Coturnix japonica: one gene and its partner. The protein of the gene in region 1 interacts with the protein of each later gene in a pairwise test. Links are inferred from orthologs where the notes say so. Each region holds a gene or a part of one and is shown on either strand. Other genes may lie near its edges.

What was found.
Region 2: the proteins of MID1 (region 1) and UBTD1 interact in binary tests that used the Homo sapiens proteins (3 or more experiments, as listed by UniProt). The two-hybrid records come from large-scale screens. The link is inferred for Coturnix japonica from reciprocal best matches to the Homo sapiens genes MID1 and UBTD1.

What each region holds. Positions count from the first base shown.
Region 1 is NC_029516.1:112,264,912-112,271,505, reverse strand, and holds part of MID1 (E3 ubiquitin-protein ligase Midline-1), read right to left. Parts: intron 3,922-6,594; 5' UTR 3,866-3,921; coding exon 3,206-3,865; intron 1-3,205. UniProt on the Homo sapiens protein: Has E3 ubiquitin ligase activity towards IGBP1, promoting its monoubiquitination, which results in deprotection of the catalytic subunit of protein phosphatase PP2A, and its subsequent degradation by polyubiquitination.
Region 2 is NC_029521.1:19,480,938-19,488,231, forward strand, and holds the start of UBTD1 (ubiquitin domain-containing protein 1), read right to left. Parts: upstream 3,857-7,294; 5' UTR 3,804-3,856; coding exon 3,557-3,803; intron 909-3,556; coding exon 681-908; intron 591-680; coding exon 205-590; 3' UTR 1-204. Other genes in the region: MMS19 nucleotide excision repair protein homolog, read left to right, coding at 4,048-4,135, 6,106-6,154, 6,925-7,025. UniProt on the Homo sapiens protein: May be involved in the regulation of cellular senescence through a positive feedback loop with TP53. Is a TP53 downstream target gene that increases the stability of TP53 protein by promoting the ubiquitination and degradation of MDM2.

The sequences.
Region 1 (6,594 bases):
GGTATATGAGTTTTCTTTCTTTTTTTTTTTTTTTAAATGCATCTGTTTCTATGGCCTATATTTAAAAAAAAAATAAAAATAAAAATAAAAATAAAAATAAAAAAGGCTGTACACTCTAAAACAACAAAAACATCTACAAGCATGTAATTACACCATGTGCTCTTAGTAACCAAGAATGAATTGCTTCTGAAATAAGTGACCTCAGACCCCTCCACCCACAGTAAAAGTTCATTAAGAAAAGCATCTCTCAGGGCTAGAGCAATAGCTGCCAAAGGAAAACACTTTCTCATTTTCAGATGTCCACAATTGCAATTACACCGACTGCTAAACATGCTTTAGCATAGACGTCTCTGCTGGACAAGTATACAGAACTCCTAATTAAAGGGCTTCATTTTTGCCACAAAGGGAGCTAGATTGTAATGGCGTCTATTGTCCTATGCTTAATGAAGGATGAGATATAGTTTAAATAATTAGTAACACCGCTGGATGAGAATGCAAGTAATTAGCATAGCCTGACACCTAGAGCTACACACTAGTTGCTGTTGTTGGCATCAACAATGTGTTGATTTAAAAAGAAAATTGCAAGAAAAGAAAGCATTACATGAAGCAGTTTTGTTTTTCTTCTTTAAAGATACAATTAGCCAACAATTTTTGAATGAATCAACTACCCTATTGACTAGCACGCACTCATTCCTTTATAATTTTCTTTTAAGATTTGCATAACCCATCTATCACACAAACCCTATGTATTTAAAAATCCTCAGCAACAACATAGCAAGCAACAACCTGTTTTTCAAATGGGCATTTTCTGAATTATTTGGACACTGTGTTTACCACTGGCATCCGCACATTATCTGTAACTTAGCAAAGACTAACTGCAAGCTTGAACCAAAGACTTAAAACAACAAAACCAGCAGTTACTCAAGGGATGGCATTACCATTTATGAAGAAGGTTGCCTCAACATGAAAAGGGACCAGACTGTCTTGCCTGTTCACTGCTAAACAGTGATGTAAATAAACCTAATTCCTTTACTCCTAAGGAAGAAATCCAATCTCCTGAGCTGAAAATCTCATTCTTGGAGTTTAATATATAAAACAGCTCACATTACTGAGATGGAAGGGGCAGTAGGGAAAGCAAGGACGTCAATTTCTGATTGCCTTCTTATGAAAAGAGAATGGACTCTGGATCTGGACGGAAATCATATAGCCTACTGTCCCTGGGCTCAAACTAGTGGCAAAATTGGCATGATTGGTATCACTGCAGGGATTAACTAAATAAAATAAGTCTATTTCGCTCATGACAAAAAGGATGGAAATTGGATTTCATGTCGGCTAATAATTTCCTGTGTAAACTACTTCCAGGTAGTTTGAGAACAAAGAGAGTTTAAGTCTAAACAAAAATTGCATGGATATTATAAATAATGACAGAAATTGCATTTGTAAGAAAGAGTTATTTGATCCAGGCCCACACTAATCATTAAATTAGTACCTGAATTACTCATTGATGAGACTAGTGGGAAGTACTCTATTAGGCTTCTGCCAGGTTTGCTAATCTGGAAAACATCTAATGTGAATGCTGCTTGTTTGTTTGAGATACCCATCCAGAGTCTGCGTAGGCACCTTTGCACAGGAAAGACAGAGATTATGCAAACACACACACATTTTTTTCTTAACCATGTGCAATATTTAGCCAATAATCTCAAGTGAAGACACCTGCTTTTTAAAATCTTCTTACAAGATTGACCATATGACATCCTCAAACATACACTTAGCCAATACTGAACTCCAAAGGTATTTCACATCAAGTTGCACATTCCTACTCTTATCAAGTTGAGGAATGATACAGGTGTTCAGTCTCTATTAGTTTGCTGAATTGTAGCACCTGGTAAGCATGTAACCTGTTGGATTATTGAAGAGCACTGTAGATTCATGCACCTTCCATTCACATTTAGAGCCGACGTCCCATTTTATCAGTGGCTAAACTCCTAATTATTTAAAAAAAAAAAAAAAAAAAAAAAAGTACTTCTACAGAAAAAAACAAAATAAATATGTAAAGCTGAAATAACAACTTCTCTTTAAGATTAAAAAAACTCATTAAGGAATGGAAAGAAGCTATCAGGTCCAAGTAAAGAACTATCTTTCATTATATTCATATAATCGTGCGGCATGAATTGCATATCTGCACATGCATAGAGGCACAAAAACCATATGGCATACAGAATTTACCTGCACTCACACAAAGTTATCACCTATGCATGCAGCCTCATATTTTTATCTTCAAGTTATTTAAGAATACATTTCCAGTTAGTTAGATCTTTTAATTCAGTTTCTTCTCACATCTCCAAAACTTATTATTGTTATCTTCGCACTCCACACTTGTGTCTTCTCAACATAACCAAGGAATCCCCCCAAAACGCATGCAGACAAGTACATACAGACTAGCCTGAGGGAACCTCATTCATTCCTCTCTGCTGCAGCACCTAAATCAATGTGTTGGGTCCAAGGCCACTTGATGGCCTCAGTGGAAGCCTGCAGAGCAACCTGAGCAGGTCTGCATCATGGCCTGCTGGTTTCACCCAGTGAGGACATCCCACATGGGCCAGGTGGGTGCCAGGTGGGAGGGGGGAACTGTGGAATGCCACAAGGAGCTGAAGGAGTTTTTTGGTTTAGTTTCCTTCAGGGCAGCACAGGAGGACTGGGGCTGGCATTTGGTTTCCCTAGCTGACAAGGCAGCTGCAGCCCCTGCAATCAGCAGGTATAAATGCATTTCCTATTAGCAATGATGAAAAGAGTTTTCTGTGATAAAAGCAGCTTGATAAAAAATAAACAACAGCAGAATATATGCAAAGAACACCTGACACTTCCATCAGGGCCTGTGTATGTGTAGCCAACATAAAACCCTGCCAGCTGCCAAGAGGGAAGATGTGGACGGATGCACACAGATAAGCTAATACTAGCTTATTGTGCTAGCAATAGTGTACACTGCGTACAGCAGAAAAATCAAAGCGCAACCGAGGAATCTTTCTTCAAGGGAAAATCTGACCCCTTTTTGATGAGCACAAAGCAGTCTGTACATGCATCTCATCTGATGACAGACCACACACCTGCCTTTACCAGCCCATGCCCAAACAAGGAAACGTAACACTCAGTAGCAGGACACCTTCCCTCCTCAACACTCAATATGGGGTGTGAGGGCAGCACTCACCTTCAGCTTGTCGTAGCGCTCGCTTAGAGCTGCCACCTGATGGTCCCGATGCCGCCCGACCAGCTTGCACAGGGCGCAGATCAGCTGGTCGTCCGTCACGCAGTACATGTTCACCTTCTCGTCTTCATGCTCCAAGCACATTAATCCCCTAATGTGAGAGTCCGGGATGGGCTCGATCAGCCGGTGGCCAGTGAAAGGCTTCTTGTTGGGGTGCGTGGCTTTCAGGCACTCCTCGCAGTAGGAGACCTCGCAGGTCACGCATGTCTTCACTGCCTCCTGGGCAGGGTCCTGGTCGCAAAATTGGCAGAGGACCTTCTCGCAGGAGGACATGCTGTTGCTGTCAAATGCCCGCTCCCGACGGGTCTCGCTGGGGGAGTTGGGCCCACTCACCGAGGCTTTCTGAAAGCGGTCGATGATGTTCTGCAGGGTGACGTTGCGCTTGAGCCCCTCTAGACCGCGCTGGCTGAGGGTGATGACATAGCGGCAGGTGGGGCACTGGAAGGCGGTGATAGACTCCACCGGCTCGTTGGAGGCGCAGTGGGAGACCAGGATGCGGTGCGCGCAGTTGAAGCACAGACTGTGAGCGCAGGGCAGCAGCAGTGGGTCCTCAAACAGCTCCAGACAGATAGGGCAGGTCAGTTCCGACTCCAGTGTTTCCATCTTCAGGCAAAGCTTTCCTGTGGCGTCAGCGAAATCCAGGGAAGCTGATCAGCTATCTGGAAACACATGCAAAATTCGATTAGGCGAGCGACAACACGAGGGGTCAGCCATGGGGGGTTGTCAGCTTCGCCGCAGCTCCCAGTGCTATCGGTCCACCAACAGGGCAGGAGAGCGAGCAAAAGTTCTGAACCTGAACATGCACACGTCAGGTATTTAAAACTAGATGGCTTTTTTTTTTCCTATTCTCTCTGTTTGCTTAGGAATACAAAGCAAAAGCTCCTTATTCTTTCGCTTTCTCTTTCTCGCTCATGCGACTGAGGAAAGCAGCAGATGTTTCTCTGCACTGCTAAAAAACCAGAATGATTAAAGCAACAAAAAAATGATTTTCAAACAGCCTACTAAAGCAAAATCAGATTTCTTTTGCAGATGCTGCTTTTGGCTTTGCTAATCCAATAGTAAAACTTTAAACAACTTCACCTTTGTGAAGCGTTGTGCAAGAGTTAGCCCAGAGTATAACAGCCGGTAACCTTACATCTCTTATTATTATCTTAATTCACACAGTTCTTTTCTCAGGTTGAAAAGCCAAGTTATTGTTATAGCATGGCACCTAGGTTACACATCTGTGTTCACCTGTGTAAATATTTACACCAATATACACAGGGAACAGTGTATCAAGGAAAGCCTGTGATATTTTTCTGTTTTTCATGGATGTATTCATCGTACTATATTAATATGCTGCTCCTATGTATTTGAAGATAATTTGTACCGTACGTACAGGCACGTATATATGTGTAAATTTGACACGTGTGTTTGCAGTGAGAGAAATATAGCCAGAGGATTGCAGTGCCCTAATTGAAATACTCCGAGAAAGATGAAGCACAAGAAATAATTGAGCCCAAATTCCTGGTGATTCAAACCCATGAAAAGAGGCTGCAGTGAGAAAGACAGTGAAAAGTGAGATTTGGTTTGTCTGTGTGCATACTTTGTTGTGTAAATACTTTCCATGGCTGAAACTCCTGAACTACGCTTGCTCTAGTGGCCTTATTAACCATCTGAGGTGGATTAGGAATAGGTGACTTTTGAAGGGATTTTCTAGAGGAGGCAGCAGCGCAGCCTTCTCAGAGATCCTCTAAAACTTAATTTTGCTCCCAATTCTGCTTTCAGCAACACAGAGAGAATGCAAAAGCGTCGCCCCACGCAGCTCTCCCTGCAGAAGCTCCCATCAGGGCCCCATCGCTGCTACGAGCGGACAGCTCAGTGAGGCAGAAGCAAGAGCTACGCTTCACACTCACGGAGCCATACCTCCTCACAGTACAATCTATTTAAGCTTTGTTGCTCATAACCAAGCACAGCTTCAGATGGCACAGCTGCACGGCCCCCGCACTGTAAAGTCATTGTTCTGCTGTGTGAACTCTCGCCTCCTTCCCTGACCAGGAAGAAAGAGGGGCAGACAAGAATCCCCCCAGACAAGTCTTGGTTCATTAAGGGCAAGGAGAGCTGGAGCTCATTAGCAGCCTTGGGAACCAAGCGTGCTTGAACCTCCTGTACTTCATGGCAATTAGAGCATGGGGCGTGGTGGCAGGAATACTACCTATAACGCCAATAGGAACCACAATAAAAAGGGAGATTTTGGCAGGCACAGAGGCAAGGTTCAGAGTGCCCGTCAGCATCCTGCACTGCTTACTTGTGGGAAGAGCAGCAAGGCGTCCATTCCAGAATGTGCTTAGAAATTAGAATACTCTGTCTCTTTGCACTCAGGCCTCCTTTTATTCTGCCAAGAAATTTGAGTGCTTAGGGAAAGGCACTGACCCTGTCATAGAATTCAGTTTCCTGAGTCTTCTGTGATGCCGATATTACTTGAAATGAAGTTCAGTTTGTCAAAGACTAATTCATTTATAACTACCCATCAGATGCCATAATTGCATGGTGCATCTGGTCAAAATTAAAGGCCTGGCAATTTGATCTAAGCAGGAAGACAGCTTCCCTGCTTTCTCCTCTGCCATAGCCACACAGCATAGCAAAAGATTAAAGCATTTTCTGCAAATGAAGAACAGTTTGTCTTCCCTCCTCTTCACTCTCTGTATCACACAAGTCCCAGAAGATAAGAATCTCATTCACATTGTTTGAATCCCTTCCACACCACAACTGTATACCTCATCATCCGCTTATCCTGCGGGCTGAAAGCTGCACTGGAAATGGGAGAAGGGGATTTGGGGCTGGCAGCAGACAAAGTTTTAAGGAGGCAAGGCACCTAATCATTGCTCATCTCTTGGCAGCCTAGTGAAAACCTGCCGACCTTTCTGGTTTGCTTCTTAGGACCATGTTCCGGATATGGGGCTTTCTTCTGTGCTCTCCATTCTGTACAAAATTCCTCCTGCTCTCTCATGTGCCAAAAGGTTTCATTCATTTTGTCTCCCTCTCAGAGCACATTGTTTTAAATAAAAGAATAACCAAAGGCTTTTCTATGTTACTCGTCTAAAAGACAGTTGAAAAGACTAAACCAGCAGAAAAATATTTGCATCACTGACTCATGGAAAAGTGTTTGAATCACTGTCATGGCTCTGTCTAAACACCACCATCCTAACTGATAAACCATTCTGATCTATCTGACCTGATGCAACAGCCACTTACTCCTGACTAGTCAAAATCTGGTGTCAAAATCTGATCTCAGTCTGTAAAATTCCTGGAATAGAAACCCATAAAAGCCTGTCTTCCATGGTAATCAAAGC
Region 2 (7,294 bases), on another chromosome or scaffold:
CCCCAAGGGGCAGCCCCATGGCAGGGGCCCCCCCAGCACACATTTGGTCTCACACCTTCCACAGCAAATGTGCCCATGTCCCCAGCCCACAGCCCTGGGGAGGGGACCCGATGACCCCAGCAGGGCTGGAACACGGCACTGGACATCCCCAAGGTGCCGCTGGGCCTCGGTGCAGGAAGGGGCCTCCCCACTCCCCACCAGAGCTCAGTTCCTGGGTGGCAGAGGCTGGTTGACGATGACTTGCACCACGTAATCCTTCTGGATCTTGGTCTCCTGCAGCTGCGTGCGGTCGGTGAGCAGCTTGCCAGAGAAGAACCATCGCTGCCAGGCCAGGTCGATGCCCTCCTGCGCCTGCAGCTGCTTCTTCAGCTGCCCGATGGTGTCGGCCATGCTGGCGCTGAGCCGCAGGTCCTTGCCAGTGGACAGGCGCACCTTGAGGGCGAACTCACGCCGGGCATTGGGGAGTGGTTCAGCTGGCTCAGCCGCCTCCTCCTCGCCCCGCTCCAGGATCAGGTTGACAGGCGGTGCCAGGCAGTACACAGGCAGCTGGTAGCGGTTGCCCAGCTCGTCGTAGCACTCCGTCAGCGACCCTGCGGACAGCGGGGTGAGACATGGAGCCATGCAGGGCACCCCCAAATGGGGACCCCCACTCCTGCATCCCCCCCACCACCACCCCTCACCGTGGGGCAGGGTGATGCTGGCTCCATCCAGGATGGCCTGGGCCAGGCTGTGGTCGTTGACCTCCACGGCATAGGCTGCAGCCTTCAGGGCATCCCAGATCTCCTTACGGCCCTCGAAGGCGGGCGCTGTGTCCCAGAATTCATCCCTCTTGCTGCGCAGCTGCCCGTCTGTCATGGGGTAGTCGCTCTTCCACTTGGGACGCTCCTTCTTCAGGGGCTCATTGCGGCCTGGGGGGACAGAGGGAGGCTCAAACAAGGGTGCCCCATTTCCCAGTACAGTAAAGGGATCCACGGGCTATCGGGGTTTCCCCACAGCATGCCCAGTGGGACAGCTCCCAACACAGCCACGAGAAATGCAGCAGCATCCCGGGTGGGGTGCAGGGGTTGTGGATGGGATGCCAGGGGCAGCCTGGGGTGGCTGCAGGGCCTGGGGCCCTTTGAGGCAGAGCAGTATTTATAGCTTGGGGAATTAGCCAGGAAATAAGCTGGTGCGGCAGAGAGCGAAAGGGATTACAGGGGCTGAGCCGCAGCCCCAGCAAAGAGGGGGGCATGACTTCTTCCTCTGCTCACCCCAGGGTAGTGCTGCGGGAGGCGACAGCACTGTGCCACACCGAGCCTTGCCGACCCCCCAGCAGCCTCACAGCACTGTGAGCAGCCCCCTGCATGGCAGCTGCAGCTGGATGCCATGCCAAGTGGCAGGGAAAGCTTGTCCCTGGGCTGGCAGCACACCTGTGTGACCAAGCTGTGAAGCACCCACGGCAGCTCCAGCCCCGTGGGAATGGCCACGTGCCACCTGCATCACAGCAGGGCCGGAAGCGTGGGGCAGGAAGGAGCTGTTGTCACTCCCAGCTGGGCTGGGGACAAAGAGTGTCAACAGCTCCTTCCTGCTGCTGTGTTCTGTGGGGCAGCCAGCCCACACCATGCCTGCAGGGGTGTAGAGTGAGTGGAGTCAGACAGGGCAGGAAGGATGCTGAGTGCTGCTATGACTTGCTAGGCAGGGGGATGCCACCTGCCTGCACGTGCAGCTACCACTAGAGTTAGCCACCACTGCTGGGGACAGGCTGTCACATCCTCCCAAAGGCTTTTCCTGGGGCTGGATGTGACACATGGACCAGGGCACAGAATGCAGCCACCCCGAGGGTTGGGAGCTAAACACCTAAGCAGGGTTGGGAAGGCAGCATCCTGCTTGCACCACATCTCCAAGCAGTGAGGGCTGCAGCCAGCACTGCCGATTCAGCAGTCACGGTGCTGGGCAGGAGGGATTTGCAGCGTGGCAGAGCAGAGCAAGGTCAGAGACAGCACCTGCCCCGGGTACAGTGGACACCACCAGCACTGAAGGACATGGTGAGGACCGCAGAGGAGGGAGCCACCAGCATCATGGCTGCAACAAGTGGGCCACCACACCATCCCTGGGCCACCACAAGCTGCAGAGGGACAGTGTCTGGGGCTGTGACCCTGTCCCAGTGAGAACAGGACAGTTCAGGACGTTCTCTCTGCAGCATCAGCCAGACAAGGACACATGGGGATTAAAGGGTGATGGAGGTCTCCTGTCCCACAGCTCCATCCTGGTGCTGTCACCTTTATTGACTGAGAGGTGGCTGTGCCCGTGGCCCCACACAGCAGCAGCCAGGAGCAGGCACAGGATGGAAGAGTAGGTAACACTGCCAGGAAACGAGGTCCTTTAGTGTTAGGGATGGACACATCTGAGCCAGGCAGCACAGCTCCCAGCCGGCACCATCCCCCAGCTCCACTTGCAGGAAAGGGAAGAGGGCTGGTGCTCAGCAAGGAAGAGGAATCCAGGGGCTGCAGAGAGGCACCCAAGCTGACGGTGTGGCAGGGAGCCCAGTCTGCAGGAGCAGGGACAGGCTGTGGCCCAACCGCCACCCCACAGCCACCGGCAGCCCTGGGCAGGTAGGCAGGAGCTAAGCCTCTTCTATTTATTGCTGCCACCCAGCCTGGACCCAGCCTCTAATCATCTTGTGTTGCTCTATTCCCAGCCGTTGTGCAACTCCACACCCTCGGGGGACACGGGGGGTCAGGAGTTGCCCAGCTGTGCTCTCACTCAAACCCAACATGCCGTACCTGCTGCTGCCCAGCTCAGCTCCCTGCAGGGCTGCTCCGGACAGACAACTTCCAGCACCCTGCAGCCCGCAGGGTCAGCCCTCCTATGAGCCACCTATGAGCCGGAGCAGCTCAGAGCCCCCAGCCTCGGGTTGCAGTGCTGGGGGAAGGAGGGGACACGAGGACAGCGAGCAGCACAGCGCACAGATCCGAGCCCTGCTCTGTGTGCCCAGCAGCATCCTGCAGCACCGCCCGCTCCGTGACAGCCGGGCACCGGTCAGTGGGAAAACCTCTCCCGTGAGAGGCCCACGCCGCGGGGTCCCCGCGCCCGGTGCTTCCTGCTCCTCCCCGTGTGGGTGCAGCGGGCGGGCAGTGACTCACCGTGCCGCCCGCCCGGCGCTTGGCGGGGCCCGTTGGGGAACGATGGGGCGCAACGGGGCGAATTGCAGCAGCGGGAGCGCTGCCCCCAGCCCGGCCGGTCCGAGCGAGCGGTGCTGGGGACGGGCCGGGGACACGAGGGGCTGGCGGGGCACCACGAGCCAATCCCGGCACGGGCACCGCGGCACTACGGGGTCACGCCGGGGATGCGCGGCGGCTCGAACCGGGAGCCCGGCACGGCACGGCACGGTACGGCACGGCACCGACGGGGCGCACGGGGAACGAGCGGGGGAATCCCCGGCACAGCGAAGAGCCGGGACGACCCGGGACCGACCCCAACCGGGCGGCAGGAAGAGAACGGCCGGCGGTGCCGTGCGGACAGCTCCAGCACCGGGCACGCCGCGACCGGACGCCCCGCGCCCTGCGGTGCCGCTCACCTGCTCTCTTGCGGGGGCTCCCCGCTGAGGGCCGCTCCCGGCGCTGCCGCCCCACGCAGCCGCCCATGGCCGGGGCTTCACCGACGGCGGCGGCGGCGCGGGCGGCTCGGCATGTGTCCGGCCGGGCTCCACGCCGCGCTGCACCGCGGGCTCCGGCGTCGTCAAACCGCCCCGCCCGACTCCGACCGCCCGAGCCGCCCCGCCGCCAAAGCCGGCCCTGGGCGCGCCCCGCCCCCCACGTGCGCATGTGACCGCCCCGTCGCGGCCGCGGCCCCGCGGGGAGCGCCGCCCACGTGCGCGCGTCCGTCCTGCCCGCGGCTTTTGTCCCTCCCGCGCCGCCGTACAGCGCCGTGCCGCCCCCACCAATACCGGCCGGGGGGGCGAGGTGAGGAGGGGGCGCCGGGGTCGCGCATGTGCCGTGGGCTCATGCCTCGGGGCTGCGCGTGCGCACGGCGGGAGCGCGGCCGGTGTGTGCCGGGGAACGGGCCGACATGGCGGCGGGAGCGGAGGAGCTCGGTGCTGCCGTGCGGGACTGGGTGAGCGGGCAGCACGACGGGCGCAACGCGGAGCTGGCCGCAGGTACCGGGCGGGGCGGGGCGGGGTGGGGTGCGGGGCTGCTGGGCCACGTGTCCGCCAGGTCCCACGAGCCGCACGGCGCTGTGACAGACACACGTGGGATGACGGGGGGATGCCGGCATCGTGCGGCCTCCGTGACCTGTATGGAGTCACGGCTGGAAGCGTTACGGTACAGCACGTAGCGCTGAGGGAAGGACAGGGTTTATTCTGAGCTCGGCGCCTTCTGTGTGACTGTGGGAAGAAACACGTTGAACGAGCTTCCTTTGTGCGCTGCATTCAATGTGCCCTGACAGGTGGGAGGCAGCTCGGTGCTGTCGCAGCTGGGGCTGCGTAAGGCAGCGTGTGTCAGAGGGGCTGAGTGTGCTCCTGTTAAAACACCGGGAGACGAATGACGCCGTTAGAGAAATCCATTGTGCCCGCTGGGAATTGCTGCACTCCCATTGTAAGGGAGCTGGGGAAACGTAAGGAGAAGAAAGTGTATGGAAATGATATATGAAATGTGGCACGTGAAAGGGAGATGTCAGGGAAGGCTGATGGGTTTCAAATAAGAATATAACAAAGGGTAACTTGCTCGCTTCTGTTTAGCCTCACACTCTAGGAACACCACCAGGGCAGGGCAGCCCTTCTGGTAAAGGAGCACACTGGGATACAAGGTGCACAGCTGGAGCTGAGCTCGCAGTTCAGCTGTGCTGCGTGCTGCTGCTGCTCTGCATGCTGCTGGGCTCGTGTGGTTCGCTCATGCACAGTGAAATCGAGCAGACCTTTGAGACCAGAGCGAGGGGGTTCATAGCCACAAGAACACGGGTGGCTGATTGTGGCCAGATCGTTACTCTTTAGCTCTTTCCTATTGGTGAGGTCACCGGCACCTTTGTCTAAATATTGCATTCAGGCTTTGAAAGTGTAGAGCAGGTCAGTGCTCACCTGTGGGACTGGTGTGTCTCTGACCTTTTGCATCATGCAGAGGTCAGAGTCATGAGGATGCAGGAGCTGTGCTCTGGAATAAGGTGGTGGGATCCTAGGTGTGAAGGAGCACTCTGCTTTGTGCTCAAGCACAGTGCCTGCTTGCTACCATGCTTCTGTTTTCCTGCGAGAGGCTTTGCCAGCAGCTCAGTCTCACTTGAGGCACCTCTTCTTCAGCCTGTGGCTGTCCATCCTGCGGCCAGCTGGACTCTCCTTTTTCCTCATGGCTCTCCATGCCGTGCCTCCTATCCTCTTTGTGCCAAGTGGGACTGGAAGTGCTGTCTTTGGAGCCAGGGCTGCTTGCTAACAGAAATTGTGGGCATTTCTTCTTCCATCCACAGAAACTACTCTCCAATGAACAGCACAACTTAATACTGGAATTAACTGCTTTAGAAAGAGACAGTAAATGCTGGCAATAGCAGGATACTCCAGCTGAGGCAAGGCCTGGGACAGTCCCAAATGAAACCTCTGGGCTTTCTGATAGGTGGGTGCCCCACCAATTGTGTAGACAAGCCCTCAGCAGGGCAGAGAAATGGTGAATCCTGGGGACCAAAGGCACGCAGAGCTGTTTTAGTGGGTGAGTGTTGCACTGACTGCAGGGGTAGGAGCCCCTCTGCCGTGGCTTTTGAAGGGTGCAGTAGATTCTCACCAAAGCCTCCTAGGGAGTGACTCTTCCCCCAGTTCAGTTGCAGGAGGTAAGTGAAGCAACCTGGCTGGGGTGCCTGAGTCAGAGCTGCAAATACACTCCAGCAGTCCCAGCACTGTGTCGTACAGTAACCACAAAACCATATTTCTCTGTGCTTTCTGCCTTGGAGGGCATTTGTGCAGGTGTTGCTCAGAGTAGAGGTGATGGAAGCTGAGTGCTTGTTAATGTCTGGGCTGTTTGGCTCAACCACTGCCTTGTTAAGAGCTTGGTTTCTTTTGTCCCCTAGGGAGCATCGGGAGAGCTGCTCTCTGCCTCAATAACTGTCTGGGAGTCTCTTTGGTTCACTCTCTTTATCTCTTTTCTCCAGGGGTGAAAGATGGAAGCTGGACTATTCTGCAGCTTGTGGAAGCCCTGGGGTAAGGAAAGCTGTGTACACATTATACATCGTGTAAGGGCTCTGTGGGGGAGATTCCCATAGTAAGGGGCAGTGAGAAGGAAAAGTGTGTGCTGACATCTCGTCCTGTGCAAACTGCCTTCAGCACCACCGGGCACACAGACACACCACAAGTTTGTTGCCTGCTCACTGCACGTTGCCCTCTCAGGGCATGGGAGCCCTCCAGGAAAGGGCAGGAGGGGCCTGTAAATCTCTCCTGGGACTGAGGAAAGGTGTTGCAGCATGCAGCAAGCCGCAGAGCACATTGCAGCTGAGACTCCCTAGCAGGAGCTGTCTGACCACACAGTTGCCCTTCTCCATGTCATGAGTTGACTGCCGCTCAGCTTTTAGTTCTGTCTCTGAGCTGTCACGGGCTGGGATTGGGGAACCTCATTTCTTTCCAGCTTTGTCTCCTTGTAGCAGGCTTTGCCCTTTTTCATCTCTTGTGATCTTGGGAGCCTGACTTTTGGTTGCGGAGCATGGTGCAAGAGCAATTTCCTTGGTCTGACTTGAGAAGAGGCCTCTTACCTTGGCTGTGCTGCTGTGTGAGACCAGGTGCTCGTGAGCAGCATGGTCAGGGGAGCAGGAGTCATCTCCTACCCTGTGTGCCAGTCAGGCAGCACCATGCTGCTGTCCCCCTGCCTGAAGAGCAGCTCCGTTTCATGCCTATAATGTGTTTGCTGGGGGGGCACTTCCTGCTTGTGTATTCCTGCTCACATCAGGCCTCTTGTGTTTTTACCATGTGTGAGCTAGGTTCTGCCTGGAAAACACCGATCCCAGGATGCGAGGGCGAGGTATCCAACTGCTGTCACAAGTGCTGTTAGAGTGTCACTCCTTGCTCCAGGAGAAGGAAGGTAAGGGCTGCTATGAATTCTGGAATTGTTGTGAGCAGGTTGGGGGCAGCTTGTGCCCTGAAAGTCTGGCCTGCATTTGGCAAAGGGATTGATTTAGCACTGTGGCGACTTTGTACGTGTCTCTCGAGTCAAAGTCCAAGAAGGATGTGGGGCCCCACATTGCAGCCTGTTTACCACCCTGACAACACAATTCAGGCTACTCCCTGAATATGCCAAGGCCGGGTTCTGCAGCTGGTGCCCCTGGCAGTGTGTGGGTGTTGTGCACCCAG